Linked DNA regions of Alligator mississippiensis. The protein of the gene in region 4 purifies or fractionates together with the protein of the main gene of each other region. This does not show direct contact. Links are inferred from orthologs where the notes say so. Each region holds a gene or a part of one and is shown on either strand. Other genes may lie near its edges.

Region 1 (6,842 bases), on a different chromosome or scaffold from region 4:
TAATGGTGTTACAAAAGTGTAAGCAAATTAAAAGAAAACATAAAAGGCTGCATAATGAAATAGAGGGACTCATGAAAATAAAAGTTTAAGGCTAAAGTGAGACTAAATAGTCTCAAAGGGGGGACTGTGGAATCAGAAAAAAAATAAATGCCTTAAACTTTGATCATACGGGTTATAAGATGACATAACTGCTTTGTGGGGAATTGCTGGTTCTGCATAGTAGAGCAGATAAGGGAAAGTGTTTGTTCTTTGTAACTCCTCTGCAACTGCTTTGCTCACCGCAGCCTCAAAGAGAGGAGAAAAAAGTATGTACAAACTCTGATTTCCAGGGGCAAAAAGGGAGTGTTAGTTCTCGCTTCGTGAATTAACCTTGTCTCCCCCATAATTCCCATCCTGATAACAGCAAAGCAGTAATGAGCTAGTGTTTGTAGCTGCTTTTTCTAGCAAACTCCACTATATGATCATGTGAACTGTTAAAAAGTATATAAGCTTCCTGATTTTGCTCTTGGGGGGAAACCCATTCCAAGTGCTTGGGAAATCCATGCCACTTTGGGGTTCCCCCCTACAGCTGCAGTTTCATTTGAATAAAAGCTTCTGCTGATCTGACCCAAAAGTATGCTGTGTGTGTTTCCACGACAAGGCCATCCTGCAAATTTTGCAGGGACAGCAACACCAAATAGATGAGCTAATGAAACCTAGGACAGAAGAAAATGAAGCCCATAAGCTGTTATTTGCCCAAAAGCTGGCTCTGAATGAGAAAATGATGGAAACTGGTAGAGCACCGAGAGGAAGAATGGAGGAATTCCACATGACTTGGATGATTCCTGGGGAGGACCCAGAGGCATACCTTGAAGCATTCCAGAGGATGGCCACAGCAGCAGGATGGGATAGTCAAGTGGGCCTATCAGCTGGGTTCCCTAGTAATAGGCAAGGCATAGATGCCATATAGAGCTCTGTCAAGAGACAAAGCAGGTGATTACTAGGGCTGTGCGAAATTTTGCCCAGTGTTTCGTTTTGAAGCTGTTTCAATGCCTTTCGAGCTCGAAACAGCAAAATCAAAATGAAACAAAAGCCTTCAAAACAGCTTCAAAACAAGACAAGGGAACTCAAAATGTTTTGAAATTTTTTAAACGTTTCGAGTTTTGAAGCCAGGCTTACTTGGCTTCAGTGCCGGTCCCATCCGGCAGAGGCAGCCTCCTGTCATCTGGCAGGCAGACTGGGGGCCCGCCCAAACCTCCAGAAGGCTGCAGGGCTGTGTCAGACTCCTCCCGGAGGTGCAGGCCCCAACAGGAGGCTGGGGCTGCTGGCTGGGGCCAGCAGCAGCACTGATCTTCTAGCACAGGCTGCACCCAGCGCTGGTCCCAGCTGGCAGCACCAGCCTCCTGTCATCCGGCAGGCAGATTGGGGGCTTGCCCGCACCCCTGGGAGAGCTGCAGGGCCATGCTGGACTCTTCCCGGGGGGTACAGGCCCCCGATGTGCCTGCCAGATGACAGGAGGCTGGTGCTGCCGCCTGGGACTGGCGCTGGGCACAGCCCGCATCCAGCACCGGGAAGATCAGTGCTACCGCTGGCCCCAGCCAGCAGCACCAGCCTCCTATCATCCGGCAAGCAGATCTGGGGACCTGACATTCCTTGCAATAGTTTATATGGGTTGCACCCACACCATGGTGTGAACTGAGTTAGTTCCGCCTGGGGTAGGAGAATCCTGTGAGGCGATAACAATGATATGTTTGCATGGAGATGCTACAACCTATAAGAGGCAAAGTATTCCTTTAATGGTCCTTGGAAAAACGTATGACATGCTGGTAGGTTTAGCTAAAAACCTACCAAATCCATTGATACTAGGCAGGAATAGGCCATATATCAAGGTTATGCAGGAAGTAACCATAGAACCTGGGATGCTGCAAAGGCCCTGATGCTCCAGCTGACCAGATGAGGGATTTACAGGACAAAAGGGAGACAAAGAAACTTTAAGAGAAAGTATGGAAGAGTCACTGGATATACAAGGCCTGATTGGTCAAGGACAATTCCAGGCAGAGCAACAGCAGGAAGATGCATTTTGACATGTCTGTGGAAGCAATGTGGCTAGCTGAAACAGAGAGGTGATACAGTCCGAGCTCACAGATCAGAAAATGCAGTTTGAGGTAAGAGACAACATTCTTTATTGAATTGATAAAGGGATGGGGGCAGAAGAGGTAGCTCAGGTTTTAGTACCCCGGGGGTATAGGAAGCCCTTGTTATGGGTGGCCTATACCTTACCATTGTAAGGGTGGCATCTGGGAACAGACAAAACAGTGGTTCACTTGTTAAAATGGTTCTCTTGGCTGGGTACATACAAAGAAGTAGAACAATTCGGCAGGAGTCGCCTGCTCGCAGCCCCATCCCATCCACCTGGCCACACTCTCTGCACATGAGGGTCCCACATAGTCTTCACGTAGACCCCAGGATCGCTGGGCAGTGACAACACTGGGCTCGGGCCAGGGCAGAGTCATGATCTACTCCTTGCAAGTGCCTGGAACTGGAACCCATCGCAGGGGTGTGCAGGCAGCAAATCACAGCTCTACCCTGGGCCCCAGTCCTGCACTGTCACTGCCCAGTGACCTCAGGGTCTCTATGGAGAATGGTCAGGACCTGCCTGGGCAGGGCACGAAGACAGGCAGATGGGATGGGGCTGCATCTGGGGCCAGGTCCAGGATCTTGGGGCAGTGACAGCACAGGGCTGGGCCAGGGCAGAGCCGCATTTGCTCCCCACATGCCCCTACCTGCAGAACTTGTGCCCATCTCAGGGCCTTGTAGGCAGCGGATCATGGCTCTGCTCTGGCCCTGGTCCCACACCGTCACCCACCTGCAATTTTGCCTCATGACCCTGGCCTTGCCTGCCAGTCCTGCTCCCTGCCCCATCCCAACTGCCCAGCGGTTCAGGAGCCACTTAGGGAGTTTTGGTGAGCTGTGGCAGGGCAAGGGGAGGTATTGACCTGGCCTGCAACAGCTCACAAAAACTCCCTCTGTGCCTAACAGGCCCAAATAATTGCCCACCTGTTTTAGCCTGTAGTTCCAAAAGGTTGGTAAGGCTAGATTAGGATCATCTTGCTATCCAAAGCGCTTTCTCTCCATCTGTCTTCATTCACACCCAAGATGTCAATAACATTTCCAGCTTGCAGCATTGCAGTTCCATCCCAAAATCCTTCATGTAGCATGGCTAGTAAGTGGAGCAGCAAAGTCTGCAAAGTATTAGCCTCTTGCCAAAGCAAGATGATTTGGTCCCATGTCCTACAGTTTGTTTGGACACAGCTCAGTGATCCGTGTGAGAGAGATCGTTTCCTGTTTCTGCAACATCTTACATGGGGTAAATGTCCCACAAAACTCTGTATTTTCTCTATATAAAACTCTGTACGTTCTCCCCTATGTCCTATCCAGCATGAGTGTGCCAGGTTGCAGCCCCTTCGCTGCCTCTTCAAGAAGGTTCTGGCTGCCATGGGACCCACGCTGTCCTGTTCGTGCAGGCCCCATCTGCGCCCCACCACGTCCAGGCAGAAACATCTCCCCGCTAGGGATTCCTGCTTGAAATCCCTGGGTTTGTCTCGTGAATTGGGGGTAAGGGGCCCCACCCTGCACCCCAGGGATCTCGGAGCACCCCAGGACCCGAGAGCAGCTGATCTTCCTGGGAGAGAGGAGTCAAAATGCTTCTTGCCCCCATAGGACAGGCTGATAAAAGTCTGGGGGAGGGGCCACCCTGGAGGACTCGAAGCTAGCAGTGCTCGGCCTCTTCACGCTGCGGTCAGTGCCCGGGAGGGGCCAGCTCTCGGCTTCCTCGTGTTCATTAACCGCGCACAAAGCCGGACCGCCTCCCCCGGCGGCGGCAGCTTCGGGCTGCACAGCTTGAGCCTGCGCGCGCAGCTAGGCCGAGAAGGCGCCCCTAGCGGAGCGGGCGGGTGGGCAGGCGCCTCTTGCGGAACCACCGGCGCGGGCGCTGCTGCCGCCGGGCCGCTTTCGGCGCCGGCCCTTCCGCCGCGCCGGGCCATGGCGGTCCCGATGGCGCCGATGGAGACGCAGCTGCAGAGTATCTTCGAGGAGGTGGTGGTGAGTGTGGCCCGGGCCGGCAGCGCGGCCCCTCGCGCGGGGCGGGGCGGGGCTGTGCGCCCCGGGGTCGGGCCTTGGCTGTGCGCGGGGAGGGGCCCGCACTGAGACGGGGCCTTATCCGTGTAGACAGAGATGCGCGTGTGCATGTATGTGTACACATGTTCATGCATGCATGTACACGTGTACATATACATACACGTGTGCGCGCACACATGCAAACCCATACACACATGTGCATGCGCGCACACACGTACAAACCCGTGTGCACATACACGCACGCACACTTAGGCATATGCATACACGCATCGGAGACAGCGGTCCCTCGGAGTCGAGGATGACGTCTGTGGGGCTTGCTGGGTCCTCAGGTGAGTGAGGAACCCCATCCTGAGTGCACAGGTTCTTCCGCAACGGGGGCATGTTGCTGCACAGGGCAGTGGGATTCGCAGCCCCAGGTTGGTCTCCGTCTTCCTCCTCCACTGTTGCCGTTCTGCCTCAGTATAGAGTCGTTGGGCCTCAAGGCGGCACGCGTCATACATGTATACGCACACGTATGCGCACATATGAACACCCATGGATGCACACATACATGTGCATATGCGTGTGCACGTGCACACATAGCTGCATGCACACACACATGCACATATGTGTCTGTGTCTTCGGTACTCCTTCACAGTGGAGGATGATTGTCTTCCACAGCTCTCTTATCTGTGTGTCCAAAGCTGCCTGACAAGGCCGACCTGGGATCCACAGACTCTGCTGCAGCTCTGGCACAGGTTTCCATGCAGTGCAGGTGGCTCCAGATTCTCGATTTGCTCCACCGCAAGCTGCTTCTGCCAGCCCCATTTTTCTGTCTCTTGTTGTCATTGTAAGGTTTCAGGGTACTGGAAGTACTTTCAAAGCATCCTAGGGGTGCTGCCACTGCGTGGTCTGCATGACTGCTTGTTCACCAGTTACCCCTGCTTATTTCGCAGCTAACATTTCCTGAAGGTCATTCCTCTATCTGCCACCTATGGATGTGCTGGGTAGCGGTACAACTCTGTCCCCAGATAATATGCATCTCTGTCCAGAAAATGCATAAGCTTTCCTAACCCAAGTGGTGAGGGAACTTGGATTATAGGAATGCTTGTACTTTCTCTCTGTTTTCATGCAGTCATAAAATCATAGAAAATTAGGGTTGGAAGGTGCCTCTCTGGGTTGCCTGCTCCAGTGCCTTGCTAGCCTCCTCATGAGAGTGTTTTTCCTTATAATCTAACCTAAACTTCCCTTGCTGCAACTTGAGACCATTGCTCCTTGTTCTGCCATCTGGCCCTACTGAGAATGGTCCAGCTCCATCCATCCTCTTATTTTTTTAAGCTATATGTATTTCATATGGCTGAAAGGCAGTTACAGAGAGGATGGAGAGACTTTTCTCAGTGGGGGCAGATGACAGAATAAATAAGGAGCAGTGGTCTCAAGTATATACGTGTGTGTGTGTGTGTGTACACAAACATATGTAGACACACAAGATTTGTGTGTGTGTGATATGTAAATGTGTGTATATGTGTATGCATATATGTATAAACATACACACACACACTTTTATCTAGAGAGAAAACAAGCTTTCCTCAGCTCAGGATCATGTGGATTGAAGTTAAATTTGTACTGAGATTAAGGTTTTGGTGTTCAGAGCTGGAGGGGAGCAAGGGGTGCCAGTAAAGAATGTAAAAAGTAAAGAGATTCCTTTGCAGCCGCAAGCCAGGAGAACGAGCCCACTGGCAGTTTTTACTAGTTTTAAGGAGAGTGGCTGGTACCAAGACCAGACAGGTGGGGATTATATTAGTGAAGGCATGAGACCACAAGAGCCCACGCAGGAGCTTTGGACATTAGATCAAAAAGAAAAGGTTGAATTCTGGCAGAAGCAAAAATAGTTGGCCAAGATCTAGAGCAGGGTTGGGCAACTATTTCGCGCAGAGGGCCACTTAGCCAGTTTTGGCAGGCTGTCAAGGGCTGCATGAGTAGCCCTGCCCCTTGATAGGTGCCCTGCCCCCTGGTCACTGTCTTGGGACCAATGTCCCAGGGCCAGCACTGGTGAGGCCCAAAGCGAGGCACAGGCTGGCAGGAGTCTGTGGAACCAGGCTGGGCTTCACCAGCAGAGAGAGTGGGGAGTTGGCCCGGCTCCATAGAGCCCCTGCTGACTGAGACCCTGCGCTTCTGCCACCCTGCTCTGGGTCCCACCGACACTGGCCCTGGGACACCCATGTGGGCCCTGTGCTTCCACTGGCTCCTGCATCTGCTCACTCCCACTCACTCTGTGCGCTCCCCGCGGTACAGGAGGCGGGCAGCGCACAGCCCCAACCTCCTGCTCGCCGGCAGGGAAGAAGCTGGCTCCTGTACCTGCTCACTCCCAATGCCCCCCAGCCCCGCGGTATAGGCAGCAGGCAGCGCACAGCCCCAACCCCCTGCTTGCCGGCAGGGAAGAAGCTGGTGCTGAGCATGGGGAAAAGCGACCGCTTGTCCACCCCATGGCTAGCCCTCCCTGCTGCAGGCGCTTGCAGCCCACATGAGGCTATCTGGAGCAGGCACAGGCAGCCCCATGTGGGCTGGAAGCGGCTCTAGCACAGGGCGCCGGGCACTGGGCGACCAAGGGGCCGCTTTTCCCTACACTCAGCACCAACTTGTAACCCAGCCCCACTGCCAGCCTGGGCTCTGTGCCGGCTCTGGGCTTGCCGCGCCAGGCAGTGTTGGCTGCTGCTGTCTGGCTGGAGCACACACTGGGCAGCCCA
Region 2 (7,494 bases), on a different chromosome or scaffold from region 4:
GGCCTCATCCTCCCCCCCGCCCCGTGAAGGAGAAGTGTTAGCCGGTTCAAATTGCCGCAGGGACTGGAGGTGCATTCACGTTTAGATCATGCAGAGCTTTTCCTTTGATCACAAAATCATCAGAGCTGGGCTCGACCGGGGCCATTCCTGTGCAGTGACACATGTCCAGGAGCAGGAATTTAGATCGTCGTGTGCAATGGGATGGTGCAATGGGCTAATCATGTCTGAGACATTCGGGATAGGTTCCCAGCATGGTACTTTCCATGCATCTTCCTTCCCGCAGCACCTGAAGTAACCTGACTGATGATGACATGAGATTGGGCTCGCGCAAGAGTATGCATCTCTGATTCAGCTAGTCTGTAAGGTGCATCTCTACCCTTCCTTCTGCCTAGGTTCAGACTAACGTGGTTAACTACCTGTCTCTTGACTAATATCTGTCACGTACGGGCTACGTGCTCCAGGGAGCGTGTGGAGTCCTTTGGTAGGCGTTTGTGGCTCTTAGCAAAGGCAGGTCGGAGACGGGCACCTTTATGTTTGGGGCAGGAAGTCTGACGTTCGTGATGGCTCCTAGTTATCCCGGAGCTGCAGCTCAGTCCCCAGGAGAGCTGTTTCCTGTGCAGGCAGTCTCTAGCCATAGGATGATAACATCTTACATAATAAATCAGATTTTCTATGGTTAAAAAGTATCTCCATGCCGCAGCGCGGTGGGCTTGACTTTGTGGTGAAATGCTAACAGGATGTCTAAGATGATGATCAATCAAGCGCTGTTGTGACACGGGGGCTTTGTGAAACAGCGTGTTGCTAAAACCCTGCATGATAGCACCTGCGTTACAACAGGCCGTTGCAACACCAGCGCGGCGTATGGAGGCATTGTGTCATACAGGCAGCGTTGCTACATGCTGGCACTGCTCTTATTTGCCTAACCACGGGTTTTAGCCTGATGCTTCTGGGCAGGTTTTTCAGGCCCTAAGCCAGGGGCAAGCAATTATTTCGGGCGGAGGGCCGCTCACTGAGTTTTAGCAGGCCGTCGAGGGCTGCATGACAGGCAGCCAGGGGCAGATAAATATTCATTTTCTAAATTTTTAGGGGCCCCGCGGGCCGGATAGAATGGCCTGGCGGGCCGCGTGTTGCCCACCCCTGCCCTAGGCACTTCCCCTGAGTTCCCCTGAGATCTCGCATCTTTTGCTGGCTCCGTGTGCCACCAGCGAACGAGACGGTGGGACAGAACGGAAGGAACAACGTTGTAGATAAGACGGGTGTTATGTCCTAGAGTTGCACTTGAAACGTGGGGAACGGTCCTGATTTTCCAGCAAGAGTGTGTGCGTTGGGGTTGGGGGGGCAGGGGCAGGGGCGGATCCAGGGGGTGTACTCGCACCCCACGTTGATTCCTGCTGCACCGGAAGTTTAAAACCAGTTGCCTGGCTGTAGCAGTGGCATTTCTTTTCAGGCAGCAGTGAGGGAGTCACTTTGTGGCACGATTATCACGTTATAATCTACCCGTTCCCTTCTCAGCTCTTCATGCCCGGGTGTTAACGACCCTCGCTTCTTTGTCTTGCCATTCACAGAATCATGGAAAACGAGGGCTGGAAGGGACCTTGGGCGGTCACATCTAAGCCAACCCCTGCTCCAAGCAGGGCCGTCCCCGGCTCCATCCTTCGGTGCCGTCGTATTCAGTCCGTACCAAGAAAAGGCTGTTCCACCAGTCAAGCTCGCTCATGTTCTGCCGTTGGGCTCTCTGTTCCCTGCGCCTGGTAAGGAAGCTGGTGTTTGCTCATTTGTAACTCCTTCCAACAAAGTTATGCGTTTGAGCTCCCAGCTTAAACTGAACACCACAGCCCAAGGCCCCCGGCATATTTGTAAATCCAGGGGATTTTTAACTGGAGAAAACGATGAGTTGTGGTCTCTGGCAGCATGTCTCAACCCACGGGTCGTGACCCAAAAGTGGGTTGCAAGAATACAGGAAAGGGTTGCAAACAAACTTTCAAAACGGATTCTCCTTTCCAGGAGGGAGGCGTGGGTGTTCCCTTCCAGACTGGCAGAGCTCCAGCCTGCAAGAGGCTGCTTGGGGCCCCCCCAGACCTCTCACACGCCACCCTGCCCCGCGTACTCACCCTCTGCCCCACGCGCGGGGGGCTGGGGTTGGGGGGCAGCGGGTCGGGAGTGAGGGGCGCTGGGTTGGGACCAGCCGTCGATGTGTGCAAACAAGTGGTGCAAAGAAGGCGGAGAACCACTGGTCTATGGGACGATGCATCTCCCCACGTGCAACCCCCTTTCCAGAATCCCGGATCCGCCAGCGCCGGGGTGTTTATCCAGCTGAAAGGAGGATGTGGGAGTTGGGACGGGGTGGGGGCAGTGCGTCGCAGAACCCCCCGGCTCTGCAGCTGCTGGAGCCCAGAGGACCTTGGCGACACGTTACGTACATGACGCAGTTCTTCAGTGATTTGTGCAATACGTTTCGACCAGCCCCGCATGCAAAGGAATGACTGCAGGATAACAATGACTCCCCAGCTGGCAAAAGGAGGCAGCCAGCTCCCAAGGCAGGGCTGGAAGAGGTGCAACCACCTGCCTCGCCCTTCACCGGGCCGACGAGGCAGCCCCTAGGGCTTGTGCCAGCGGCCGCCGGCAGGGGGCAGCAGAGACCTCTCTTATGGGAGGACTACATCTCCCAGGAGCCTTTGCTTCTGGGGCCCCACATACAAAAGCCGCCGACTGGTGTGGGCGTCCCTGCCGCCGCCTGTCACCCGCGCGCCATAAACGGAGCGGCCTGGGACGTCTACCCGCGGGCGGCGGGGCGGGCTCGGGAAGGTTGGGGGCGCCGCGCCGCGGGCGGCGGTCTCAGGCGATTAGCGCGGACACCCGCGCGCGGGGGCCTGAGCGGCCAAGCGCATGCGCAGTGGGGCCGGAGGGCGGCACGTGCAGGGCATGGGCGGCGCGGGCGGCGGGGACGGGACTCGGCCCTGGGCTCGCCTGAGGCCTTCCTCCTCGCCTTGCCTCAGTTTCCCCCCCTTCCTCTTCCTCCTTGCTTGGCTGGCTTGTCCCGTGCTGATGCCCAGAACCTCTGTGTTCAGGCCCCGGTAGACATGGCTCCCAAGGACACCCTGGAGGAGTCTTTTGCGGAAGACCTGCTGAATAACCTCACTGAGCACTAAGCGAGTCCGGTGCGTGGTACACTGGAGCGAGCTGGGCACGGTCAGCCGTGTCCTGGAGCTGTCCGGGGCCCCAGCCCTTGGCACAGCGTGCCCTTGGTGCCCGCACCCCGCGTACAGCTGCCCCAGTCTTTCCTGTACCCGTGTGGCAGGAAACAGTAGCTTTTGCAATCGCTTGCATGCCCACTCTTTCTCTGATCCTGCATTATTGAGATCTCCCTGCTTCCGTATTTCCAGCTGGTTCCAGAGCATGAGATCCATTGCTGGAGGCAGAAATAAGATCCTCAAGAAGCAGCCCAGGCCGTGGAGGTTCCTGTCCATCCTCCGCTCGTTTGGGGACCAGGAGCTACCACCAGTTCTCCCTCCCCGGCTGCGAGCCAGCGGTCAAGAACGCTCGCCCCCTTAATCTTGCCTTGCCTTTCTTTTCCCCGCTGGAGCGTGCGTTCTGCCCCCGCTCCACCGCTGCAGCAGAGCGAGATCACCACGGCGCGCGTGGAAACCCTGCATTTTTACGAACCAAAATGATGCTCTTCCCACGCTCTCAATGGCCTTTGCTAATGCACTGGCTTCCCTCGAGTACCAGGGTGGCAAGATACTCTCATTCGCGCCGCGACTGGGTGCTCTAGTGGTCCGGGGTCGGTAGAGAAAGGTAACAGCTCCCCTTCCACCCACTTTCTTTCTTCTTTTAGGAGATGGACATAAACTTCAGCACGGATTCGGTGTGTTTGAAGCCTTCTGGTAACGAAGCTCCTTGTCCGCAGCCCTGCAGACTGGTTTAAAATCCTTTCAATAGAGTGATATTTCCTTTTATCTCCATCTTAAACCAAATGAACGTCGCCCACGGTCTCTGGGGTTTTCCTGAATCTTCTAGTATATTTTTAAAGGGGAGAGAAAAGATGCGCCGTGTCTTACGGGATTGGCGCACCTCCCCATATGCAACCCCCTTCCCCAAACCCTCGCTCTGCGCTGGTGGGGGTGCTTATCCATCTGAAGGGAGGATGCCTGGAGAATCCCCCTGGCTTGGCAGCTGCCCCGAGCGACCCCAGGCCCTGACGACGTGTTACAGATAAATTGCACTTAGCGGGTGACTCGCGCATTCAATTCCGAGCAGCGCCGGGCGCAAGGGGTAAAACTGCCCGGCTGTAGAAACGGGCGGCCCCACGGGGCTCCTGCAGGGGGCGGCAGAGGCCTCTGTTACGGGAGAACGACATCTCCCAGGAGCCTTTGTTCCTAAGGACCCCTCCTCTCAGCCAGACGCTGGCGTAGGCATCCTTCGCACTGCCTGTCACGCGCGCGCCTTAAATGCCGCCTGCCCTGTGCCGGGCAGGCGACTAGTGCGGACACCCGCGCGCGGGGGCCTGAGCGGCGGCGCCTGCGCAGTGCGGCCCGCGGGGGCAGCATGGACGACGAGGAGGAGACGTACCGCCTGTGGAAGATCCGCAAGACCATCATGCAGGTGGGCCAGGCCTCCCCCCCCCCCCCCCCCCACACTCCTCGTGCCTCAGTTTCCCTTACCCCTGCCATCCCTGTGCCTCAGTTTCCCCCCCCCTCCTCCTTGTGCCTCAGTTTCCCTTACCTCCTGCCATCCTCGTGCCTCAGTTTCCCCTCCTCCTCCTCGTGCCTCAGTTTCCCTTACCCCCTGCCATCCCTGTGCCTCAGTTTCCCCCCCCTCCTCCTCCTTGTGCCTCAGTTTCCCTTACCCCCTGCCATCCCTGTGCCTCAGTTTCCCCCCCCTCCTCCTCCTCGTGCCTCAGTTTCCCTTACCCCCTGCCATCCCTGTGCCTCAGTTTCCCCTCCTCCTCCTCGTGCCTCAGTTTCCCTTACCCCCTGCCATCCCTGTGCCTCAGTTTCCCCCCCCTCCTCCTCCTTGTGCCTCAGTTTCCCTTACCCCCTGCCATCCCTGTGCCTCAGTTTCCCCCCCCCTCCTCCTCCTCGTGCCTCAGTTTCCCTGCCCACCCCTCGTGGAGCTGACGGCGCCCGCTCCCCGCAGCTCTGCCACGACCGCGGCTACCTGGTGACGCAGGACGAGCTGGACCAGACGCTGGACGAGTTCAAGGGGCAGTACGGCGACAAGCCCAGCGAGGGGAGGCCGAGGCGCGCCGACCTCACGGTGCTGGTGGCTCACAACGACGACCCCACCGATCAGATGTTCGTCTTCTTCCCCGGTGAGGCTCCGCGGCGCTTCTCTGTTAGAAACCCGGCGGGGGGACGCACGCTCTCGTAAAGGAAACGGACCCTTCTCCTAAATCCCGCCTGGCCTGATTTTTTTTTTTTTTTTTTTTTTTTTTTTTGTTCTTCTCAGAGGAGCCCAAGGTGGGGATCAAGACCATCAAGCTGTACTGCCAGAGGATGCAGGAGGAGAACATCACCAGAGCCCTCATCGTGGTGCAGCAGGGCATGACGCCGTCCGCGAAGCAGGTGCGCCACTGCCCTGCCCGGGGGCCGGCGGCCTTCGGGCTCTCGGGGGCCGACGCGCCGGGTCGCGCCTCCTTCGCGGCGACCTCGTGGAGCACGTCGGTGCCGTAAAAGCGGCGACCGTTACTTGAGAGGCCGAGACCGGAGCCCGGCGCGCGGGCCGGGGCACTGCTCTTACCCCGGAGGGCGGCGCTCGCGGGCATTTTGCTCGGCCTCTGGGTGGATGGTGGGTACACGGCAACAGCGAGGATTGGGCCCCTTGTAGCTCCCCCGCCGTCCGCCCGACGTCTTACACATTGGGAGTCGTGAGTGTTTTCAGTACTCTGCCCAAAAATGTCGCCGCCCCCTGCCCTACGGGGCAAGGTTGAGCTTTGCTTTTTTGTTTGTTAAAGCCGGCATGGCCTGAAAGGCGCTTGCTTGTTATGTGTGGTGAGGCCGCGGTGCAGCATCAGAGGCTGGGGTTGCAGTTGTGTGAGGAAGTGGCTCCTGTGAGTTTCCTTTACGAAGCAAACAAAGAAGCACCTGGCGTAGATGCGGAGGAGTCCGTGCAAACGTACACGATGGCCTGGCCCCAGAGGCGTTCGGGGGGGGTGCAGTGGGGATGGACTCGTGGCACGTGCCTGTGCTCGAGTCCGGTCCTTGGACGAGCCCCGCTGGGCACAGATACCCTTTGGATTCAGCGGAGGTTGCTCGACTATATCAGCAATTACTGCAAGGCTCTCCATGGGTCTTACTTAATATGCCACAGAGATGACCCTGCTCTTACAGATCAGCTGTGTGAGGGGTTCTTGATTCGGCTCGCTAGAAATACCTAGGGAACATGCCACGGTTGTACTCCCTGCAACAGTCTCTTTCCTACCCCTCGGGGGTTTGACTTGAGCAAACTTTGTATTCTGCAAGGTACAAGATACTGCTCTTAACTCCTTGTCAGCGAAGCTTGCAGGCAGTGAAGTGCGTTACTGCCCAGATACTGCGGTAGTGGGCCAGGAAAATCCCAGCAAGAATGAGACTCGTTCCCTTATCGCGGCGTTGCTGCCCAAGAGGGACAGAAGAAGTGAGGAGGGTGGGAGTGATTCAAGGAACGACAAGAGGAAATGTGACTAGAGCAGTAGGGAGCAGAAGGCTTAGCAAGGGGAGAAGTGGGCAAACGTCAGGCTGTGATGGGGGAAGTGGTGCTCACCTGTCTGCTGCTGGTGGAGAGGTCTGTTACCCACACCTGCGCATGCCCTTGAAGTAGCGAAGGCAATATGATGGGAATGGCATACTCTAGCCCCAGTCTGAATAAACCCGGGACCAGCTCAGTCTGGTGCGCTGGGCTTGCTAGCCCATGCTGATGTTCACTCTCTTTCTTTCAGTCCCTGGTAGACATGGCTCCCAAGTACATCTTGGAGCAGTTCCTCCAGCAAGAGCTGCTGATTAACATCACTGAACATGAGGTGAGTCCAGTGCCTGGGTACATCGGTGTGAGCTGGGCATGGTCAGTCACATCCTGGAGCTGTCTGGGGGCTCCAGGCCCTTGGAGCGGTGTGCTTTTGTGCTGTTGGGTGCTGGCATTGCATTTAATAGCTACTCCAGTCTTTCCTAAGCCTGTGTTCCTAACACTGGTCACTACAGGAAACAATGTTTTTTGCGCTCACTTGCATGTGTTCGTTCTCTCTCTCTTTCTCTCCTTGGGTTATTGAGATTTCCCTGCTTCTGTACTTGCAGCTGGTTCCAGAGCACGTGGTCATGACAAAGGAAGAAGTCACTGAGCTGCTAGCCAGATAGTATCCTTTTGTTTCTGAGCCTCCCTGAAGCCCCTGCCAGCACAGATGTGCTTTGTGCTGGAAACTACCACACTTGTGGTGTATACAGTAGTGCTTTTATTTGCTGTGAGCCTGCAGAGCAGGCAGCAGGCCCAGCTGATTTACCCCACTGGTGATTTTTCCTTCAC
Region 3 (7,429 bases), on a different chromosome or scaffold from region 4:
AACAGGGACTCTCCCAATGCCTGCTGGTCCCCCTCGACTAGTTTGTAAACTGCCACTATATCCCCTCGCAACCTTCTCTTTTGGAGGCTGAACAGGTTCAGGTCCCTCAGCCTCTCCTCGTAGGGCCTGCCCTGTTGACCCCTGATCATGCAGGTGGCCCTCCTTTGGACCCTCTCCATATTGGGCACATCCCTCCTGAAGTGTGGCGCCCAAAATTGGATGCAGTACTGCAGCTGCGGCCTGACCAGTGTCGCATAGAGGGGGAGGATCACCTCCTTGGACCTGCTTGAGATGCATCTGTGGATGCACGACAAGGTATGGTTCGCCTTCCTGACTGTGTCCCCACACTGTCGGCCCATGTTCATTGTGGCATCAATGATGACTCCAAGATCCTTTTCTGTCTCAACACTAGCGAGAAGGGAGTTCCCCAGCCTGAAGTTGTGCCACTGGTTCTTCCTCCCCAGGTGCATTACCCTGCACTTGTCAGTGTTGAACCCCATCCTGTTCTCTTCGGCCCACCCCTATAACCTGTCTAGATCAGCTTGCAGCATGTTCCTTCCTACTAGCGTACCTACTTCACCCCACATCTTAGTGTCATCTGCGAACTTGAACAGGGTGCATTCTACCCTCTCGCACAACTCACTGATGATGTTGAACAGTGCGGGCCCAAGGACCGAGCCGTGGGGAACCCCACTGCCCACATCCCTCCAGGTCGAATAAGACCCGTCCACCACCACCCTCTGGGTGCAGCCCTCCAGCCAGTTAGTGACCCATCTGACCATGTAGACATCAACACCATTGTCTCCTAGTTTCTTACTGAGAATGGGGTGAGAGACCGTGTCAAAGGCCTTGCTGAAGTCCAGAAAGACTATATCCACTGCGACACCTGCATCCAAGGACTTGGTGACCTGGTCATAGAAGGCCACCAGGTTGGTTTGACAAGACCTCCCCCTAATGAACCCACGCTGGTTGCCCCTGAGCATAACCTCCCCTGCTGGCCCTTCCTGGATATGTGCCAGGATAATTCTTTTGAAAAGCTTCCCCAGGACCGAAATAAGACTCACAGGCCTATAGTTTCCTGGGTTCTCCTTCCTCCCTTTTTTGAAGATGGGGACCACATTGGCCCTTTTCCAGTCCTCCGGCACAACGCCTGAGTGCCATGAGTGCTCGGAGAGCTGTGCCAGAGGTCCCGCAACGATCCCTGCTAGTTCCTTCAGCACTCTAGGGTGGAGATCATCAGGACCTGCGGATTTAAATACATCTAGTCCCTCCAAAAGTTCCCTGACAAGGTCCTCATGAACCCTAGGCCTGGGTATGCCACCCACAGGGCCCTTGGGGGGGCCAGTGGGGGAGATATCCGGGTCCCTCCTCAGAAATACGGAGGCAAAGAAATTGTTGAATATGTCAGCTTTACCATCAGGCGAGATGATGAGATTTCCTAGTGTGTCCTGCAGAGGCTCCACGTTACTTGGCACCTTCTTTTGCCCCCTATGTATTTGAAAAAGGACTTTTTGTTGTCCTTGATCTGGGTCGCTAGTCAGGCAGTGCTGAAAGAGTCCATTGATTTCATGGCTCATTGTAACCTACTGATCGCTGCTAAACTCTTCATCCCACAGGTGTTAATGACCCTCTCCTTTTGAATGGCCTTGATGTTCTGCCAGTCCATCCAGCTATGACCTGGTAGCTGCTTCTGGTCATGAAGCTCCTGTTTCACAGCTCTGCATGTTTGTTTTTCATAGATTCATAGATTCATAGATGTTAGGGTCGGAAGGGACCTCAATAGATCATCGAGTCCGACCCCCTGCATAAGCAGGAAAGAGTGCTGGGTCTAGATGACCCCAGCTAGATACTCATCTAACCTCCTCTTGAAGACCCCCAGGGTAGGGGAGAGCACCACCTCCCTTGGGAGCCCGTTCCAGACCTTGGCCACTCGAACTGTGAAGAAGTTCTTCCTAATGTCCAATCTATATCTGCTTTCTGCTAGCTTGTGGCCGTTGTTTCTTGTAACCCCCGGGGGCGCCTTGGTGAATAAATACTCACCAATTCCCTTCTGTGCCCCCGTGATGAACTTAAAGGCAGCCACAAGGTCGCCTCTCAACCTTCTCTTGCGGAGGCTGAAAAGGTCCAGTTTCTCTAGTCTCTCCTCGTAGGGCTTGGTCTGCAGGCCCTTGACCATACGAGTTGCCCTTCTCTGGACCCTCTCCAGGTTATCCGCATCCCTCTTGAATTGCGGCGCCCAGAATTGCACGCAGTACTCCAACTGCGGTCTGACCAGCGCCCGATAGAGGGGAAGTATCACCTCCCTGGACCTATTCGTTATGCATCTGCTGATGCATGATAAAGTGCCAGTGGCTTTTCTGAGGTGGTATGCCAACAGCGAGGCAGTGCCTTGAAACTTCAGCGACTGCGTTTGTGAACAAAGTTTTTTCTGAGCAGCATTTCTGTTTGTTACATCTTCCTTAACGCGGGAGGGGAAGGAATCGTTGCTTCTTTTTTTATATGTACATATTTTTTTAAATGCTTGTTTATGTTTAAATGCAGAGGTACCATTTATTTTAGGGTCCTGGCTGGTTCCATGGTGAATACCTTCAGGTAAAAAAATCTTTTTGGGGTTGTGGGGCAATTTTGTTTAATCATTTACACAAATGTAATAGAGCAGAACTTGACTTCCTCACTCGAGCATTTTGCACAGGTGCCAGGCACACGTCCAGAAGGGCAGTTGTGATGTTAGCTCTGAGAACTGGTGGTATGTTAATGTTGCTATCTTTTCCATGCAGGCCTTTTGGTAAGAGATAACTTATGGTCTTCCTTTTTTTTTTTTGAGGTCTGTTTTATCTTTATAACGCAAGTCCCCCCCACATCACCCCACCCAAAGTCTCAACGTCTGCTTGGAGGTCCTGGGTCTCCTCCAATTGCCTGTTTTTAACTCATTGCAGTGAAGTTCTGTTTGTTTTTGCTTCAATTTTAAATGGCGTAATACAGCCCTGGGCCGCCGGCCTGTTGCTAAAGCTCCTAGTTTATTACCTGGAGAGAAATGCATGTTGTGTTGTATGTGATGATGCACTTCACCCTCTTTTTCAAACTCCTAGAGATGCCCACACCCAGGTGTGTTGGCAGACTCAAGTGCGTGTGGCGCAAGGCATTAAGAAACAAAATGTGGAAAATGGTGTAAGAAATAGTGATATCAGGCAAATATTGCTGTAAGAAACAGTGATTTGGGGATGAAGCTGCGGTTGGCTGCTTATTTCCAGTTCCCTATTCTTTATTCCCAGGTCCCTATTCCTTATTCCTAGTTCCTTTTTCAAAGCTAATCTAGACCCAATAAAAGCTTGTTATAAATTAATTACACATCCTGAAGAGAATTTCATTAGCTGTGTGTATGTACTAATTCGTATGTACAATAATATCCCACATTAAGTACATAGCCCTAAATGAAGGTCAGATTAGGATGGAATTATGGGGCAAAATACTTCTTGGGCCACCACAAACTCCCTGTTGATGCCACTGGGGGACTGTCCTAAAGAACCCTGACCACATATTTTACTTGTCCGATAGAGTCCCCCAGTCGTGCAGAGGTATTCTGATGGGTGGCCCAAGCAGATTTTCTAGCTATAATCCCAGCCCAAAAACCAGTTCCTTATTCAAGATTTATACTTAGTATAGCGGGCATGGGGGCTGTCAGTTGGCAGCCTGGCACGGCCAAACCGTGCTGTGGTCAGGGTTCTTGGGACAGTCCCCCAATGGCATCAACAGGAAGTTTGTGGTGGCCCAAGAAGTATTTTGCCCCATGATCCTATCCTAATCTGACCTTCATTTAGGGCTCTGTACTTGAGGTGCGATATTATTTTACATATGAAATAGTACATGTGCATAGCTAATGAAATTATCCCTCTTTAGGATGTGCAATTCATTAATAACAAGCTTTTATTGGGTCTAGATTAGCTTTGAAAAAGGAACCTCACACCGGGAATAAGGAATTTGGAATAAGCAAACAACTTCATTCTTATGATTTGGGGCGGGTTTTGGAAAAAACGCAAGCCCCGGGGAGAGTACATCTCTCAGCCCCGCTTGTTTACTTATCTGCATAGCAGAGGGCTCCTTAAGGTAGGGAACTCAGGCCCGTCCGTCCAGCCCCAAAGGATCCCGCTCCTCCGAGGTGTTTTCCTCTCGAGTTCAATAGGAGCCGGCCCAGGCACAGGCCCTGCAGCGCCCGAGCCCCTCGGTGGCTAAGAGACCTCGCAAGTACCCTCCCGCCAGCAAGGAGCAAGCGCCCCCAGCAGCCAAGACACCCTCCTAGCGGAACCCGAACCACAGACCCGAAAAGGAAGTATGTACAACTCCACCCGTGCCACTTCTACTCCCAGCCCCCTCCCATTCCCTCCCTGACCACCTAAGATTGGGAGCTGCGATTGGCTGCGCCGTCGCGTTTAGGCGCTGACCAATGGGTGGGCAGGATGCTAGGGTGAGAGTATGGCGGACCGGCTCACGCAGTTGCAAGACGCGGTGAATTCGGTGAGGAGTTGCGCCACGCTGTGCCGGGCGGCCGAAGCCCGGGTGGCTCCTGGTCCCGCTCCCCCCTCCCCCACCAGTGGGCGTGGATCGGGGGGGATCTTCTCTTAGGGGGACGAGAGGGGGTCCCGGGGTGAGAGTCTGGTGGAGGGGAGGTTCGGGTGGGGGTTGGGAAGAGGTTGGGGTTGTGAGGAGGGTAGCGGCTTTGACTTTGCCCACTGGGCCCCGTGGCTAAGCATTGCATGCTGTGCGCCTTGCAGCTTGCTGACCAGTTCTGCAATGCTATTGGGGTGCTGCAGCAATGCGGTCCACCTGCCTCGTTCAGCAACATCCAGACCACCCTCAACAAGGACCAGCCAGCCAATCCTACGGAAGGTAAAAAACATCTTGTGCAGCTTTTCTGACTGGCGGGGCAGCTCGCTGGTACACACAGGGGTCAGTGAAGGTAGGGGCTGGATGAGATCTGTTCTGGGTCTCTGCAAGAGCGCAAATGTAAGTAACATTGTCTGGAGTTGGTAGAATTGTAGGAAAGGCAGCTGAAGGGACCCTGAGGTTGTCATGTCCAGCCCCTAGCCTCGGTAGGGTTATTCCTCACTAAGCCATTGCAGAGTTACCATCCTGATGGTCATACTATCTGGAATACCAGTGTGATGGTATCTGGGAACCATCCTGTTCTCTGCTCTAAAATATGTAATGGCAGGACAAAGCAAGAGTTATGTTTCAGGGAAGAGGCAGTTTAAAATATTTAGTGTTTAAACAATCAGGTCAGCCCTAATTTTGTTCCATGTGTTTCTTAAGTGGGATCTCTTCTGATCTAGGTGCACAACCAAAAATACTTCTCAAATTAATCTCCTTTTGCTTTATGTTTGAAATCAGGTTAGGCTTGACCTTGGGGATCCCAAGTGGGGCTAGCACAGTGCACAATGGTGCTGTGCTGCAGTTCAGGGCAACTGAACCATGCACAGCCCTGCATGCAGCATATGCTGGTCCCTATGCTCATGTGCAAATGGCCCCTTTGATCTTACAGTGCATGGGTTGGACCCAGAGCTGCTGGCAGCACAAGGAATCTGGGGCATGGGCTGCAGGCAGCACCCTGAACTGACTTCCTGTCCTGCTTGCAGTGCTGGGGCCACCCCGTGCCAGTTCCAGGGGCTAGCATATGCTGCATGTGGTGCATGAGCTGGACCCAGCACTGCCGCTACTCCACGGGAAGGGTGGGCAGGGGGAGGGGGTTGGTCCTAGTTCAGTCCAGTCCACAGAGTAACTCATAGACACTCAGCTGGCTGCAGGGGTGGATGCATTTGACACCTCTGCCTTAAACTCTGGCCAAAGCACATTCTACTATAGCATGTACTAATCTGGCCACTAGTTAGAAAAGGTTGTGCAAAACACACTAGAAAATGCCAGACTAGCCTCTTCTTAATATTAATGTCCTTGAAAGCAAGAAGGTTTTTAAGTACTGTTTGCAGAGTACTCATTTTTGTATTTAAGGTACAAAAGCATGTGAACAGGGCTATTGAAACAAACATTGTCAAAATGACACTTGATTAGACATGGAAAATGTGTTAATATATTAGGTTTTTAAAGTGTATTAAATCTTTAACCAGAGTATTAGTTGTATGTTCTTAGTCACCATTTTTTTTTTTGTGTGGGGCTTGTTTTTATTCTCTTCCATATTGTTTGGTGATTGTTTTTTGTTTGTTTGTTTGTTTGTTTTTTGGAAACAGTGGTTGTGACTTAAAATATGTCAGATGCACAAAGTAAACAGGAAAAACCTACAGATCTCCTTAACAACCTTTTAACTGTAGTCTTGTTTTACTTGTTAACTGGATTTATAATATTATAAAAGTCAATTTTTAAAACTAATAGAGGAGTTGTATACTTTACCAAAATTTAAAAGTCTTATCACTAGCAAAGGTATCTGGGTTCTAAGCTGCAAATTCTTTTAAACATATGGATAGCAAAGTTTTTAAAGGCATTTAAGTTCAGCGTGCTAAAATTCTAACACAGTAGCAGTAAACCTTTTAATCTAGTTGTTTCTTTAAATTTTTCACCATATTTATGCAGCATTTATACTGCACAGAGGTTGTTGCACACCTGAACATTTGTTAACTAACAGTTAACGAAATGGCAAACCCTACTCGTGTTCTTGCTGCAACTTCATATAGTTATGGGAGCACTATTTGTATACAACTATATTTAATCTGATGTTTTAGCCCTTTATTTGTGAATAGTCTGAATTTTTAGCCTTTTATCTGTGCTCAATGTGATTCAGTTGTCCTAATGTACCATGCTATTGCTGCCTTGTATGGGGAAGTTCTTAAGGCTTGACATTTCCTTGATTTTTAGAAGTAAATACAGCTTGTCTGAAATGGATTTAAGTTCTTTAAATGTGCCCCCAGCTTATTACAGGTCCTCCGAAGAAAAGAGCTAAAAATAGTATATTAGAGTAATTCTTATTTATTTTTAATAGAATATGCCCAGCTCTTTGCAGCATTGATTGCTCGTACTGCTAAGGATATAGATGTTTTGATAGATTCGTTACCTAGTGAAGAATCAACAGCAGCTTTGCAGGTAAGAAAGTTGAAAGCCAAAATACTGAAACACTGCAAAAATGCTTCTTAATCGCATTAAATCACATCTCAAAAGAGTAACTAATGTAAAAGATGTGATCTTGCATATTGTTTAAAATGAACTTCAGCTCTTCAAAAGAGAACCTGTAAATCTCAGGCAATATACTGAAAAGATGACATTGTGTAGGTGAACTTGAAACAGGGTGGGCAGACTTGCATCCAAGACCACTAAGATATGTAGAACTTGCTTTGACTTTCTTACAGTGCCAAAGAAACTCTTCTTACCACCACCTAATGTTACTTTAGGAAGTTACCTGGCATCTTCAATTGTTGATAGTTTATCTATT
Region 4 (7,362 bases):
TCCTAACCCCAACAGACAGGTGCCAACCTAGTATCCTCTTAAGAGCCTCCAGTGAAGGAGATGCCAAAGCGTCCCCAGGCAGCTTGTCCCATTGTCTGGCTGATCTTGCAGTCAGGAGGTTTGTCCTCAGATCTGATCTCATTTAAAGCACTGCCCCGGGGCCTGGCCTCTGCAGCTGTGGGGCACTGTGGAGCAACCTGCACTACTTTGCTCTCACACCCGTGGCAGCCCGTGGTTGTTTCTCAGTGTGCATTACAAAGTCGTCTGGGTCACACCACCTCCTCCCTGCATGGCTCAGCCATCCCTGTCCCGCTGCCTCCTTGGAGAAAAACCTGCTATGCAGTTCCCAGCACACCTGTGGGCTGCACAGTCCTTAACATGCATGCTCCAGGGGTCCCTGAATGCGACATGTGTCCTCCATGCCACAGCATGGGTGTCTTGGATGACTGGCTCTGTACTCACCCATGGGCAGAAATTGCTTGTGTGCCTAGCATGCTCTGAGTCCCCAGCATAGCACCTATGGCACACGTGGCAGAAGGGATTTGCATTGAAGTACAAGAGTTCGTGGATGCTCGTGTAACATGTTCTCATTGGAAGGATTTCAATTTGACAAGGAGAGCTGCTGTAGTGTTTTGGAAGGCTCTGGCTGGCCGGCCCCTGCTGTTTTCATGCCTGTTAAACATTAAACCAAAGTTATTTCTTTATGATCCTGGCTATGAAAGACCTCTGAAAGAGCGCGGAGCTTCTCGTGTTCTCCTGAGACCAAACCCTGGGGGGCTGGGGATACTCTACTCCCCCCTCCCCCATGCATTCTTGCAGCCGGCCATCCAAAAGCAGCTCTCTGAAGGACTGAGCTTCCAGGTCTATAAAGTGAGTTGTCAGCCTGGTTTATCACTGTGAACTGGGAAGTACCGGGTACATGAACCCGCTGAATTCTTGGGAAATGACTTCAGTGATGGATTACTCAGTTCCCTTTGACAACCTGGTCTCTGGACCCATTTCCCTCTCCTGGTTTAGAAGCTCTCTTTCTAGTCTGATCCAGGTGCCATGTAGACATACAAGGGGGAAAACATCACAGACTTGCAAAATGAAGAAGCATGAGATAGGAAGGGTCCAACTCCCGCAGGGGACTGTAAGACTTTAAAAGCTCTGTGAACTTTTACTTCTTTATTATCCCTGCCTTTTCATGGCTGCCCCTTAGGGAAACTGGGGACAGAAATACCAAAATACCATCAGGATAGTGGGTAAGACGGGTATTTCTAGTCCCATCAGAAGCTGGGGATATCAGAAACCACATGAAAATGCCTGCTGTAGGGGCATTACGAACTGTGAGTAACAGTCTCCAGAAACCCAAGCCTGTTCCATTCAAAGTCAGCAAGAGTTTTATCATGGACTTAAATGGAAGCAGGATCAGCCCCAGAATCCAGAAAAACGTCTGGAAGACGAACGCTGAGTAAATGAATGCCATATCTGCATTTTTTTAGGCTTAGGCCAGCACCACAGATGAATGATCTCTAAACATAGCCCAATAAGATAACAAACAGGATGATTCTGGGGCAGCGAGACAAGATAAAGTTCAACATGATGATGGGCATATAATAAAAGTCATCATGGCATTGATGTGGGCAGCCAAAGCAAGCCAGCGAGGGTAGGCAACGAAAGTGGGGCAAGCCACAAAAGGAATTGACTGATGATGAATTAAAAGACTAATGGCAAATCCAAAGACAAAGCAAGCTCTGAAACTAGGTCTCATTTGGAGGCGAGGGGGAGCAATTTATAATGGCACGACAGAAAGAGAAGTCATATTAATAATGTAAAAGGAAATAAAAGGGGTAATCATGGAGGAGGCTAAAGATAAGGATTATTTGGTCAGCTGGTCTTGGGGAAAATAGGTTAACTAACCCTTTGGCAGAGAAATTAGTTTGTTTGATGGTTATAAGATGTGAAGGATCAGGCAGCTTTGAGACATTTTAAAGTCTCGGGACTTGGAGGATGGCAAACAAAGTTATATGGAGAAAAACCGTGGCATCGTCAACTGCATGTCAATGCCATTAGCACAACCAGGGTGCAGTGACCTTCTGCAATCCACCCCGCTGCAATCTCTTGCCTGGGCTGAAGGCAGGGTAGAAATACATCTTAGGACTAACTAAATTTGAGACGCATGAGCTGCTATGAGCTGTTATAACTTTGCTAGCCAAGCCCTTTGCTAGTATTGTTGCTAGCTCCCGTTTTTTTTGTTGATGAACCAAAAGCATCTGCAAAGCTCTGGGCGGAGGGATGCAGGAGCCCACATGCCAAGTTTAGTCCCCAAACTGTCTTGTGCTTAGGCAGGTTGTGTGAGCTGCTGACCTGCTGTCCGACCCGGAGCTGGAGAGACCACTGAAGGCAGCTAAAATAGCAGTTTAGCCCCTATGGTCCTTTCAACCTCCCATCGAACTGGCTGCTCAGTGAAGCCTAGCCCTGGAGATGCTTTGTGGTCCATGTCCCATATCCGATCTTTCCCCTGAGACATCCAGCCCCACCGTTCATGGCACATTGTAGCCAGACAAAACTTCTGCCAGCTGATGGTTCATCCAGGAAGGGGCCCAGAGGGCACAAGTCAACCGCAGTAGGGACAGGAGTGAATGTCAAGGCCTTACAGAGGTCTGAGCTGAGACCTATGGAGTAGCTGGTGTTACCCCCCTGTAGGGAAGTCAGTGGGACTCAAGACCAAGACCAGCCAGTGAGACCAAACGGCTGCATCTCTCTGAGCTCGGCACAGGGAGACCCCACAGCACGGAGACCTCCACGTCTGCACAGGGTTTCTGAGATGAGTCCTAAAGGAGAAAGCGCAGAGGGTAATTCAAACTGCACAAATAGATCAAAAGCCCTGTGCTCCTTAATTAAATTGGGGGGTTGTGTATGTGCACATCATCAAATGCTCCATTGATTGTCTGACTATGCGTTTATCAAAACTGAGCTATCAACTTTCTTAATATAGCTTCTTTGCCATTAGCTACAGGGCTCAGGAAAACAAGCACTAGATTCAAAGCACTGCAGTACCCAGGACAACACGCCCAGATGCCACCCTCTGAAATTCAGCGTGGCCCTTTGAAATACCCCGAAATGAGGTCACCAAACTACTTCTCAAATGCAAGGAAACAGATATAGCCATCGTTTGTTTTCCAGCCAGCATCAAAAGTCCCTTAGTTTAGCCGCTTGATTTAAAAAATGCAAAGGAGCACTGGGATTGTGTTGGTGAAAGGAGCCTAGCATGGCCAAACTCTTGCTGGATGAGTGCCTAAACACCTGAGAACATCCGGGTCTCGAGGCCGCCCCGCCCCGTCCCATCCCATCCCGCAAAGCCCTTAAGCCACCTCGGTGGACTCAAGGTGCCTCTTGGAAAATGCCAGCTCTCAGCTTTCACTTGGTTTTTTGTCTCTGGAAAAATAACAGAGCAATTCTTCTGTTGCAAAGAACTCAGACTATTTCTGGCACTTGGGATTCCTATTTGAAATGTCTGGGTTTATCTTGTGAACCACTTGCAGGTTGTCGATGCCTCTCCCACCCAAAGTTTAAAACCATCTCCCTGGCTGTGGCAGTCTGGGCTGCGGGAGTCGCTCGACTTCAGGCTCGCTCTCATCTACCAGATCCCTGCTAAACTCTTCATTTGACCCTCTCTTCTTTGGATGATTTTGATGTCCAGCCAATCAAGGCAGCCTTTGTTCTGCAATCCTGCAGCTTGTTAGCTGTTCCTGGGCAGGGAGCTCCTATTTCACAGCTGTGCCCATCGTTTTAAACCCATTCCAGTGAAGTGACATGTTTTTGCTTGACTCTTGAACTGAACAGCACAGCCCTGGGGCCCTAGAAAAATGAGTAAAGCTTCTGTGGACGTTGCGCAACCCCCCTGCAAGGATGGCGCACCCCCAGTTGAGAGCCAGAGAGCTGCTCTGGCGGAGCACTGGGCTCACACGAGCTCAGGGGTCCGACAAAGCCCCGCTCCCTGCCCAGACATGGATGGGCACTGCTGGGGTGCAGCCCCCATTCCCAGGCCCAGGCCCCCGCTCCCGCAGCAGCTTGGCTGGGCGCCTCCTGCAGAGCTGCCCGCGCGGCTGCACCGAGCCCGGGGGGAGGGGGGGGCTCTGCAATGCAGTGCGCTGCACGGCGCCCCCGCGATGCAAAGATGCGTGCACTGCACGGCTGCGCCAAGCCCTGGGGGCTCTGCAGGGCGAGGACGCATTTGCAGCAAGGCGCGCCGAGGCCCTGCAGTGCAGTGTAGTGCAGTGCCGTGCCGCGCAGAGCTGCGCCCGCCCCCGGCTGACGCGCAATAGCGGGGCCGGCGCACACACGTGCATTGGCGGCGCCGCGCGGGGCGGGGAGGGGGGGCCGCCATGGCGAGCGGGGCGGCCGCGCGGCCCGCGGAGGAGCCCCCGGCCCCGGCGCCGCCGCCCGCCGAGCCCCCGCCTGAGCAGAAGCCCGCGCTGCCGCTCCCGGCCCCGGCGCCGCCGCCGCCCCCGGGCCGCGAGGAGTTCTCCTTCCTGCCGCTCGTGCACGGCGTCATCAAGTGGTAATCGCCCTCCCGCCGGGCACGGGGGGGGGCTCCCCCGCCAGATGTGCACCCCTCCCGCTCTGCATTGGGGCACCCGGGCCAGCTGTGCACCCCTCCCGCTGTGCACCAGGGCACCCTTCCAGCTGTGCACCCCTCCCGCTGTGCACCCCTCCCGCTGTGCACCCCTCCCGCTGTGCACCAGGGCACCCTTCCAGCTGTGCACCCCTCCCGCTGTGCACCCCTCCCGCTGTGCACCAGGGCACCCTTCCAGCTGTGCACCCCTCCCGCTGTGCACCCCTCCCGCTGTGCACCAGGGCATCCTTCCAGCTGTGCACCCCTCCCGCTGTGCACCAGGGCACCCTTCCAGCTGTGCACCCCTCCCGCTGTGCACCCCTCCCGCTGTGCACCAGGGCACCCTTCCAGCTGTGCACCCCTCCCGCTGTGCACCAGGGCACCCTTCCAGCTGTGCACCCCTCCCGCTGTGCACCCCTCCCGCTGTGCACCAGGGCACCCTTCCAGCTGTGCACCCCTCCCGCTGTGCACCCCTCCCGCTGTGCACCAGGGCACCCTTCCAGCTGTGCACCCCTCCCGCTGTGCACCAGGGCACCCTTCCAGCTGTGCACCCCTCCCGCTGTGCACCCCTCCCACTGTGCACCAGGGCACCCTTCCAGCTGTGCACCCCTCCCGCTGTGCACCAGGGCACCCTTCCAGCTGTGCACCCTTCCAGCTGTGCACCCCTTCCGCTGTGCACTGGGGCTCCAGTCCTCATCCCTCCCCTAGAGTGACCCCGGGGATCACCCCAGTGCCCCTTTCCAGCAGGATGTGTTCGGGGCGGGCAGGGGGCACCGTGCCACCCCAGGTCACAGCCCTGGCTCGGCTGGGCACCTCCCTCCGGTGAAGAGACAGCTCGGCCCCCCTTGATATCCCAGCCTTCGTGGCCTGGAGAGCGGGCTGGCCTCTGTGGCCGTCCAGTGGGGTGGCCTGCTACGACCTCCAGTCCTCCAGGGCCAGCACTGGCTCCCAGTAGCTTTCCAGGCACGATTCAAGATGCTGGTTTGGACCAACACAGCCTGGGCCCGACGTAGCAAAGGGGCCGCGGTCTCCCTTGCACCCCAGCGTGGTCTCCGAGGTCAGCCAAGAGCAACCTCCTGGCACCGTGGGGGCTGAGCTCTGCATCTCCTCCCCTCCGGGCCTGCCCAAGCCCGAGCCCGAGCCGGGGCATCTGGTGGAAATGATGCGGGACCATTTTTAATGGGGCAGCTGTTAGCAGGAAAGGGTTGAATCTTGGGGCAAATACAGCTTATTCTGTTACTTGTCTGAATGTTTTCATAAGCTGCCTTGTCTGTTGGTGTAAGCCCTCCTGAGCCGTTCCCTGCGATGGTGGTATATAAATGAAGTGGTTCCAAGGGATCCCTTCACCCTCCAAGGTGCAGAGAGATCACTAGTGATCTCCTTAATATCCCTGCCTGGAGATCACTCAGGATTTCCCTTGCTCTCCCTCCTGGCCTACCCTCCCTTGCACGGGGACCTGGAGGACTTGGCTGCCCGCAGAGGCGATCTGATCCAGTCCATCCGCGTGTCCCGATGGCTCCAGGCTCCAGGGTCTGTGCCCCAAGCCTCAGCTCACAGCTTGGCTGGTACACGGCCCGTGAAGCCGTATCTGGAGGCTCCCTGGCTGACCTGTGTTCGTCGAGGGGGGCCGTCCAGGCCATTCTCCGTGGCTCTGTGAAGGGGCCATTGTCCCATCTCACAGGTGACGTAGAACAAGGAAATTGCAGGGCCGAATGGGAGGTGGACTCATTCCTGGAAAGGTGAGCGAGGTATATTCCTGATGCATTCATTTCCCCAGGTCTTTTTGCCCCATTAGCCAGAAGAGATGGCTAATGGGGCAAACCTTGATCTCATCGGGTCCCGGTCCAGATTTTCAGGGAAAGCATGTGGCAAGCTGGCAGATCCCCCACCTGACTCATGCCGAGAAACAGGCCTGGTTTCATCACAATTGGGTGCTTAGGTCAGGCCTGTTCTCTGGCTGAACCAGGCCTGATCACTGCACCCGTTGTCCTCGGCCGCGTTCCTTTGCATTTACGTTGCCTGCAATTGTTCCAGTGGAGAGCAGGCTCCAGAAAGCACAGACAGTCCCAGCTCAGGAATGCGTCCCTGGGGCCCGGGCTGGTACAGACGGACGAGGACGGGGTCATGGCTGGGGTCGGGCTCCCTTCTCTCGGACTCCAGAGCGGTGTATAGATGCAGGCTTTGGCCCCGAGGGTCCTTGTTACTCTTGGATGGTGGCTGGCCCTGGCATCCTCCTTGCAGTGCAGCCTGTGGGTGTTCACGCCTGGCTGGGCAGCCCTGGCACAGAAGTTGTGCATGTAGACACAGAGCAGGGAGTACCGAGGGCAGCATTGCCAGCTCTCGAACGCAGCCCCACTCAGGTGCTTTACACCGGTGTCAGCGGGGACCTGTGTACTCCCCATGCAATACATCATGGGCCTGATCTTCCCTTACGTGATCGCTTCTTCCCACCCTTCCTGCAGCACAAAGGAGCCCTAATATGGCCAGGTAGGGGGCTGGTGTGTAAAAGAGTCGCGCCCTCTTGGTTTCGTGCTGACGGGCAGCTTGGCCTCAGACACGTCGCACAGGTAGAGAGTCCCAGCCCCAAAGACTTTACAGTCTGAAGGCAGCACAGGGCAGAGCCTTACTTGCTCGCAGTCTGGACATTGTGGGACAAGGGTGCTCCAGGCTGGCTCTCGCAGAGCAGGGGACGCTGTTTGCCATCACGTGGCAAAGGACCGGAGACGGGCATGGGAGAAGGAATCAAATTAAGGGTCATCTTT

The links.
Region 1: the proteins of MED9 (region 4) and MED23 purify together in Homo sapiens (co-immunoprecipitation; 3 studies listed by BioGRID and IntAct, with this or other methods). This does not show direct contact. The link is inferred for Alligator mississippiensis from reciprocal best matches to the Homo sapiens genes MED9 and MED23.
Region 2: the proteins of MED9 (region 4) and POLR2E purify together in Homo sapiens (affinity purification with mass spectrometry; 4 studies listed by BioGRID and IntAct, with this or other methods). This does not show direct contact. The link is inferred for Alligator mississippiensis from reciprocal best matches to the Homo sapiens genes MED9 and POLR2E.
Region 3: the proteins of MED9 (region 4) and MED21 purify together in Homo sapiens (co-immunoprecipitation; 8 studies listed by BioGRID and IntAct, counting the BioPlex papers as one, with this or other methods). This does not show direct contact. The link is inferred for Alligator mississippiensis from reciprocal best matches to the Homo sapiens genes MED9 and MED21.

The regions. Positions count from the first base shown.
Region 1 is NC_081824.1:114,295,186-114,302,027, reverse strand, and holds the start of MED23 (mediator of RNA polymerase II transcription subunit 23), read left to right. Parts: upstream 1-3,834; 5' UTR 3,835-4,020; coding exon 4,021-4,080; intron 4,081-6,842. UniProt on the Homo sapiens protein: Required for transcriptional activation subsequent to the assembly of the pre-initiation complex. Component of the Mediator complex, a coactivator involved in the regulated transcription of nearly all RNA polymerase II-dependent genes.
Region 2 is NC_081839.1:2,967,284-2,974,777, forward strand, and holds the start of POLR2E (DNA-directed RNA polymerases I, II, and III subunit RPABC1), read left to right. Parts: upstream 1-4,483; 5' UTR 4,484-4,545; coding exon 4,546-4,602; intron 4,603-5,136; coding exon 5,137-5,311; intron 5,312-5,448; coding exon 5,449-5,564; intron 5,565-6,916; coding exon 6,917-6,997; intron 6,998-7,268; coding exon 7,269-7,327; intron 7,328-7,494. UniProt on the Homo sapiens protein: DNA-dependent RNA polymerase catalyzes the transcription of DNA into RNA using the four ribonucleoside triphosphates as substrates.
Region 3 is NC_081827.1:129,464,322-129,471,750, forward strand, and holds the start of MED21 (mediator of RNA polymerase II transcription subunit 21), read left to right. Parts: upstream 1-4,415; 5' UTR 4,416-4,470; coding exon 4,471-4,512; intron 4,513-4,769; coding exon 4,770-4,884; intron 4,885-6,982; coding exon 6,983-7,083; intron 7,084-7,429. UniProt on the Homo sapiens protein: Component of the Mediator complex, a coactivator involved in the regulated transcription of nearly all RNA polymerase II-dependent genes.
Region 4 is NC_081836.1:54,494,452-54,501,813, forward strand, and holds the start of MED9 (mediator of RNA polymerase II transcription subunit 9), read left to right. Parts: upstream 1-4,355; 5' UTR 4,356-4,370; coding exon 4,371-4,546; intron 4,547-7,362.